Coturnix japonica: one gene and its partner. The protein of the gene in region 1 interacts with the protein of each later gene in a pairwise test. Links are inferred from orthologs where the notes say so. Each region holds a gene or a part of one and is shown in the gene's direction. Other genes may lie near its edges.

Region 1 (4,231 bases):
TGCTCATAGCAGACCCTCAGTGCCATTGGCTCTCACTGCTTTTCCCAATGGGTACCCCGACACCATCACAGATTAATGCAATGGTTGGGTTGGATGGAACCATACAGGTCACCCAGCCCCCACCCCTGCCACAGGCTGGCTGCCCCCCAGCTCAAGCTGCCCAGGGCCCACCCATGGTCTTGGGCACCTCCAGGGATGGGGCACCACAGCTCTGGGCAGTGTGTTTTCAAGGCTCAGTCCGAGCTTTGGTCACCACCTGCAGGCTGCTGGGAGGGTGGGGGTGTGTTCAGTAGGAGGGCTCTGGGGATGCCCATCGGGTGCCCGCTGGGTGCCGAGCCGAAGCGCTGCTGCCCTGCATAACCTTCGCCTGCGGCCGTCCTTTAACCTCCGGTGCTGGTAACCCAAAACGAGATTGCTGGAAATGAGAGAGCAGAGGAGTCAGCTATCTGATTCCAGGCCACAGGCACATGCCTGGCCTTCGTGGATATATTAAGTAAGGGACATTTTAAAACAAAACCACCCGCAGTAACCTTATCGTGAGGCTGAAGCCGCAGCCCAGCTGCTAACTCCGAGCTGCCCACACGGGCTCTATCCGATGCTGCTGTTGGGATTTCACAGTGTTTTGCCCCAAATCACCATCTCCGAGCCCTCAGTACAACTTGAGCCCGAACTGCGAGCCCTTGGCTTCTGGGGGGTCTGTAGATAAGTGCAGATCACTGCTGGGCACTGTCTGCTCCTCTCCTGGGACAGCACCTCAGACCCGTGACTGCAGGAAATTTGGCCTCTTTGCTGCATTCTGTACGCCCTGTATGTATGCATTTCTGCGCAGAAATAATTCAGCAAACAAAATCTCGGAGACAAATTGCTGATTGCATCAGCCCCAGCTTATGAAAGCTGATCATAGGGAGGACAATGTAACCCAACTCTCCGCCATCCCACTTGCCGCCCAGGAATGCCATCGCTCCACTCGGATCCTCTTTTTAGGGGGACTCCAAAATCCTTGGCAACATCCCTTAAGGTCATGAGTAAACCCCGAGCCTCGGGACGGCTCGGAGAGAAGGGAGCAGCCAAAGGGCTCCGGCAGCGGGGATTACCGACGCGCCGCGGGAGTGTTGAAGAACGGGAGTCGGGTGCCGAGCTCCTGCCCCGCTCCGCTGCGGGACGGCGGGGCAGAGCCCGAGGGGCGGCCGGGAAGCAACCGGGGTCGGGGCCACCCGGGGCCACGGACCGGCCGCCCCGCCTCCACCCCCCCCCGGCACGTTGCACGGCGGAGCGGGCGGGGGGAGGAAGGCCGCCGCTCGCCGACACGTGAGCCTCATGTGACGGCGATGGAGGGAGGGAGGGAGCGGGGGGGGGAGCCCGGCCAGACGTGCCGGGAGTCACAGGGTAACGCACGTCGCCGCCGTCCACCCACTCGGCCGCATTTAACCCGGCCCTCCGCCTCCCTCCGCTCCTCAGCCGGCGAGGCGGGGACGCGGCATGAGCTGCCCGCGCTGAGCTCCGCACCGCACCGCACCGCTCCGCTCCTCCCGGCTCCCGCGGCACCGCTCCGCTCCGCGCCCCCATGGAGCGCATCCCCAGCGCGCAGCCCCCGCCCGTGTGCCTGGGCAAACTGCCCGCCCTGGAGAGCGCCGATGTGCCGGGGTAAGGCTGCGGGGGGGACAGGACGACACGAGAGCGTCCCCCCGCCGCGGCCCCGGGGACAGGGGTAACCTCGCTGCTTTCGTTTCGCCCGTGCAGGCTGGACTTCGCGCACATGTACCAAGTGTACAAGCCCAGGAGGGGGTTAAAGAGGAGCGAGGACAGCAAGGTAACGGGGTGGGCGGTGCGGGGCGGGGGTCAGCGATCGTTGGGATGGGGGGGAGTGAGAAAGAGAGCTGAGCTTCTGTGGGGTGATGCGGGAAGGGGGGAAGGGGCCTCCACTGGGTAATTCTGGGGGAAATAAAAAAGAAATGCTGCGGGGTGGGGGGCGGAGGGGGTGCGTGAGTATTTGGGTGGGGAGGGGGGGGGAAAGCAAAAGGAAAAGGAAAAAAGAACAGAGGGTGGAATGCGTGGTGGGTTTAGCGATTATTTGGGAAGGGGGAAAAAAAGGAAAGAAGGCAAAAAGACGGAGGGTGGGTGCGGAGCGCTGACCCGCCGCTCCTTACAGGATACCTACAAGCTGCCCCACAGGCTGATAGAGAAGAAGCGCCGCGACAGGATCAACGAGTGCATCGCCCAGCTCAAGGACCTGCTGCCCGAGCACCTCAAGCTGACGGTACGGGCACAACGGGGCTCCGGGCCCGGCCCTGCGTTGAGCGCGCGATGCCGGCGGGGGCAGCAGCGCCGAGGCACGGAGCTGTGCTCGGGGTTGGGCGTCCCCAAATACCCCCGGGATGTGGGGCCGGGGGCTGCCCCGCGGCTGCTCTCTGTGTGTTCCGTCCAAATTCCGGATATTTCTGTTCACAGGAAGCACGACTTGTGCCTTCCCCAATTAGCAGCGCTGCCCCCGAGTCCCTGCCCCAAATCGCCCCCACCTTTGCCGTGGGAATGTCTCCCAGCGCCTATTTCCACCCCCACCCCCGCAGCGTCCAACGCGTTGTGTGCTCTGCCCGCAGACCCTCGGTCACCTGGAGAAGGCGGTGGTGCTGGAGCTGACCCTGAAGCACCTGAAGGCGCTGACGGCGCTGACGGAGCAGCAGCAGCAGAAGATCCTGGCGCTGCAGAGCGGGCTGCAGGCAGGTGCGTGAGTGCAGCGTGCGGGGACACTGCGCGGGGAAGGGATGCCTGAGCCTCTGCCCTTTGATTGCCATCAGTTTCTCTCGCTTTGCTTGTGCAGAGCAAGTGCAGCTCTCCATGGGGTCGGAGCCAGGCGTGCTGTGCGGTCGCTTTCATTTTAAAGTGGATTTGAAGTAGTTTTATTTAAAGCGCAGCTTTGCTGTGATGCCCTCTCCAAAGTCGTTCAGCTCTCTCCATTCATGAGCTTTGGATCCTGGTTCTGCGCTTTCCTTTTCCCCCAGAGCACACAAACACCCGCTGTCCGTGTGCAGATCTGTGTTCCCTCATTCTGCAGGTGGACGGGGCTCAGCACAGTGGCTGCTCGCTCCCTCTGCTTCCTCCTGCTGCTTGCACACGTGGCATTCACATGGCTCTGATAAAGTCAAACTGAGCTTGGCCAACGAGGTGCCACTGCCCTGCAGGGACAGCACCAGGGGAGACCCATTGGCAGTGGGGGCACAGCGTGGCATTGAGGGGTCCTGCTGGGTGTGGGATGCACTGTCTGCTTGTTCCCCAGTGGAAGTGCCAAATGCAGAATTGAAAGATGAAGGGCACGGGTAGAAGTGAATGGAGGGATGTGAAAGTAGCAGGTTGGATTCTGGCGCATAAGTTGTGGGAACTCAGGTTGGCCACTGAGTTTGCTGTGCTGGCTGTGTTGTACCGGACGCGTGCTGTCAGCCTGGAGGTGGTGATGGAAGTATTTGGCGTGCTGTTAATTTTTAATTTCTCCCTGTTAATGTTTCCTCAGGTGACCTGTCCGCGAGGAACCTCGACTCCAGCCAGGAGATGTTCCGCTCTGGCTTCCAGCTGTGCGCCAAGGAGCTGCTGCAGTACGTGGCCAAGCACGACAACAAGGAGCTGAAGGCAGCGCAGCTGGTGGGGCACCTGCACCGCGTGGCGGCCGAGCTGCTGCCGGGCAGCCCCAAGGACCTGAAGGAGAAGACGGTGCCGGGGGGCAAAGCGGGCGAGGGGCGCGGGCAGAACTGTGTGCCCGTCATCCAAAGGACATTCGCTGCCTCCAGCGGGGAGCAGAGCGGCAGCGACACAGACACGGACAGCGGCTATGGGGGGGAGCTGGAGAAAAACGACTCCAAACCGGAGCAGCCCTATTTCCCAAAGGATACCGAACTGAAATACGCCGTCCAGGAGAGGATCAGCTCCATCAAGCAAGAGAGCGAGGACCCTCCGGCCAAGAGGAGCAGGCTGGAGGTGCCTGATGACGACAGCCCCTTTGGCAACGAGGTGATGGGCACTGCGGGCGGCTTCCTGCCCCCCCACGCCCACCAGCCCCCCTTGTGCCTGCCCTTCTACCTGATCCCACCATCCGCCACTGCCTACCTGCCCATGCTGGAGAAGTGCTGGTACCCGGCCTCCGTCCCTGTGCTGTACCCCGGGCTGCCCACGCCCACCGCTGCGCTCACCGGCTTTGTGGGCCCTGACAAGCTGTCCCCCCCACTGCTGCTGCCCCAGAGAC
Region 2 (3,311 bases), on another chromosome or scaffold:
CTCCAGCTGATTGGGGATATGGGGCCGCCCCTGCCCCCCCCCCTTTACCACCCCCTGCCCTCCTCCCTTGGCACGCGCCCACATTGCTGCCTCCATCTTCCCTCTCTTCTCCTCCACATCCCCTTTATTTCTCCCATATTTTCCTCTCCTCCTCCCATATTTTCCCTTTTCTTCCCCAATATTTTCCTCTTTTTCCCCTAAATTGCCTCTTTTCCTCTCCAAACTTTCTCTTCCCCTCCAATAGTTTCTCTTCTTCCCCCATATTTTCCCTTCTTTTCCAATACTTCCTATTCTTTCCTCTTCATTTTCTCTTTTTCCTCCATATTCTCTCTCCTTCCCCCATATTTCTTCTTCTTCTTCAGCATTTTCTCACTTATATCCCCATATTTCCCACTTATATCCCAATATTTCCCATTTACATCCAATATTTCCCTCTCATACCCCAATATTTCCTATTTATATCCCAATATTTCCTATTTATATCCCAATATTTCCCACTTATAACCCAGCATTTCCCATTTACATTCAATATTTCCCATTTATATCCCGTATTTCCCACTTATACCCCAGTATATCCCATTATATCCCAGTATATCCCATTATACCCCATTATATCCCATTATATCCCATTATATCCCATTATATCCCATATATCCCATTATATCCCAGTATATCCCATTATACCCCATTATATCCCATATATATCCCATATTTCTCACCTATACCCCAAGATATCTCAGTTATACCCCAATGTTTCCCATTTACATTCAATATTTCCCATTTATATCCCAGTATTTTCCATTTACCCCCATATTTCCCACTTATATCCAATATTTCCCCATTTTCTGCCCCTTTTCCCCCATTTCCCCCCATTTCCCCCTATTTTCCCCCAATTTTGCCCCTTTTCCCCCATTTCCTTTTATTTCCTCCATTTTTCTACCATTTCTGCCCCTTTTCCTCCATTTTTCTACCATTTTCTGCTCCATTTCCCCCATTTTCCCCCTATTTCCCCCATTTTCCCCCCTATCCCCACTCATCACACCCCAAATCAATCTCCATTTCACCCTATGTCCATTAATCCCCCCCCTGCAGTTAATTAACCCCCCCATATTAATTAACCCCCCTCCCCCCGCAGCCATCGATCTGTACTGCAATATTAACGAAGGGCCGCATTAATGCGGCTCGGATCAGCGGGGTTTGGCACCGCCGCCTTATGGGCCCGGCGTGGCCGCTGGTGCAGGCCCCGTTGCTATGGCCGTATCTCCATCCCCCCGTTGCTAAGGGCCGCATCCCCCCCCAACCCGCCCTTTGAGGCCCCGCCCTTCCGGTTTTAAACTTCCGCTTCCGGCTCGCAACTTCCGCTTCCTCCTCCATCTCCGGAAGTGCTGAGTGCCGCCATGGCGTCAAGGTTACTGCGGGTGGGCGCGGCGCTGCGGCTTCTGCCCGCCGCCACCGGGAGGAGCGTGATCAGCCGGCACTATGCAGCGCCCGGTAAGGACGGGACGGGATGGGGATGGGATGGGATGGGATGGATGGATGGAGGCACTGAGCGTCTGCCCCGCAGGTGACCTGGCCACGGATGAGGAGCAGGCGACGGGACTGGAGCGGAAAGTGATGGAGGCGATGAATAAAGGACTGGTGAGTGTATGGGGTATATGGGGTATATGGGGTATATGGGGTATATGGGGTATATGGGGTATATGGGGTATATGGGGTATATGGGATGGGATGGAGATGGGGATGGGATGTATGGGATGGGATATTATGGGATAGATGGGATATTATGGGATGGATGGATGGGGTATATGGGATGGATGGGATATATGGGATGGGATACTATGGGATACAATGGGATACTATGGGATACTATGGGATACAATGGGATACTATGGGATACTATGGGATACTATGGGATACTATGGGATGGGATGGATGGGATGGGATGGGATATTATGGGATGGGATGGGATATTATGGGATGGGATGGGATGGGATGGGATGGGATATTATGGGATGGATGGGGATGGGATGGGATGGATAGGATGGGATGGGATGGGATATTATGGGATGGATGGGATTGGATGTTATGGGGTGGATGGGATGGATGGGAGGATATTATGGGATGGATGGGGGGTATTATGGGATGGATGGAGGGTATTATGGGATGAGTTGGGATGGGGATGGGATGGGATGTGGCTGCCGTTGTTGGGGTGGGCCTCCCTCTGACCCCTCCCTCCCCAGGACCCCTGGAGCATGTTCCGGCCGAAGCGCTACGCGGGCACCAAGGAGGATCCCAACCTTGTGCCGTCCATCACCAATAAACGCATCGTGGGCTGCGTCTGTGAGTGGCCCCATGTGGCCCCATATGGCCCCTTATCTCCCCCCCCCACTTTATCTCCCTCCCACCCCCTGTTCTCTCTCCTCAGGTGAAGAGGACAACAGCTGCGTCATCTGGTTCTGGCTGCACAAGGGGGAGGCGCAGCGCTGCCCGTCCTGCGGCTCCCACTACAAACTCATCCCCCACGAGCTGCCACACTGAGCCCACAGGGAGCCCCCCCAGTGGGGTCCTGGGCTGTGAGACCCCCCCCAGCAGCCGTCTGGTGTTTGGAAGCTGAGCCACTGCAGCTCGTTCTGCTGTGTCCCCCCCCAACTTATAGAGAAAAAGAATTGAGTGTGGAAACACTGCGTGCTGTGTGTGTGTGTTGGGGGGCGGCAATGGGGTGGGGGGGGATCGGGGGAGGCTGAGTGTGGGGTGATGGGGGGTAACCCCTCCCCATGGGGGCTCCCTGTGGGTTGGGGCTGTTAAGGAACGCCCCATGGGGGTGGGCAGGATGATCAGGCACATGATGGGGTTGTGTTGGGTGCCCATCCTGCCCCACAGACACACAATGGGGTTGTATTGGGGTCCCCATCCCACCCCACAGACACACAATGGGGTTGTATTGGGGTCCCCATCCCGCCCCACAGACACACAATGGGGTTCCATTGGGGTCCCCATCCCCCCCATCCTTCTCACTGTCCCCATAGCTGTGGCTGGGCACAGACAGGGGCTGCGTTGTGGCCCCTCCCTTGGTGGGCGCTGTGTGTTGGGACCCATCCCCCCCTTTCTGAGCCCCCCCGGGTGCCCCCCATTGCTGTACCCACAGGGCAGCCCCCATCCCACGGCTGTGTGCTGTGTAGAGCTGGCACCCAGGTGGGACCCACTGTATCCCTGTCTATGGGGCTGGCCTCAGCCGCCCCATCCCGCAGCATGGAGCCGTAGGGACTGATGACGTCAAAACCACCGTTGACGTCACGAGCCCACCGTTGACG

The links. The genes of interacting proteins can lie anywhere in the genome.
Region 2: the proteins of BHLHE40 (region 1) and cytochrome c oxidase subunit 5B, mitochondrial interact in binary tests that used the Homo sapiens proteins (3 or more experiments, as listed by UniProt). The two-hybrid records come from large-scale screens. The link is inferred for Coturnix japonica from reciprocal best matches to the Homo sapiens genes BHLHE40 and COX5B.

What each region holds. Positions count from the first base shown.
Region 1 is NC_029527.1:15,937,630-15,941,860, forward strand, and holds the start of BHLHE40 (class E basic helix-loop-helix protein 40), read left to right. Parts: upstream 1-1,303; 5' UTR 1,304-1,564; coding exon 1,565-1,644; intron 1,645-1,740; coding exon 1,741-1,810; intron 1,811-2,149; coding exon 2,150-2,257; intron 2,258-2,597; coding exon 2,598-2,721; intron 2,722-3,505; coding exon 3,506-4,231. UniProt on the Homo sapiens protein: Transcriptional repressor involved in the regulation of the circadian rhythm by negatively regulating the activity of the clock genes and clock-controlled genes.
Region 2 is NC_029537.1:873,197-876,507, forward strand, and holds cytochrome c oxidase subunit 5B, mitochondrial, read left to right. Parts: upstream 1-1,369; 5' UTR 1,370-1,397; coding exon 1,398-1,491; intron 1,492-1,564; coding exon 1,565-1,638; intron 1,639-2,240; coding exon 2,241-2,340; intron 2,341-2,425; coding exon 2,426-2,538; 3' UTR 2,539-2,679; downstream 2,680-3,311. UniProt on the Homo sapiens protein: Component of the cytochrome c oxidase, the last enzyme in the mitochondrial electron transport chain which drives oxidative phosphorylation.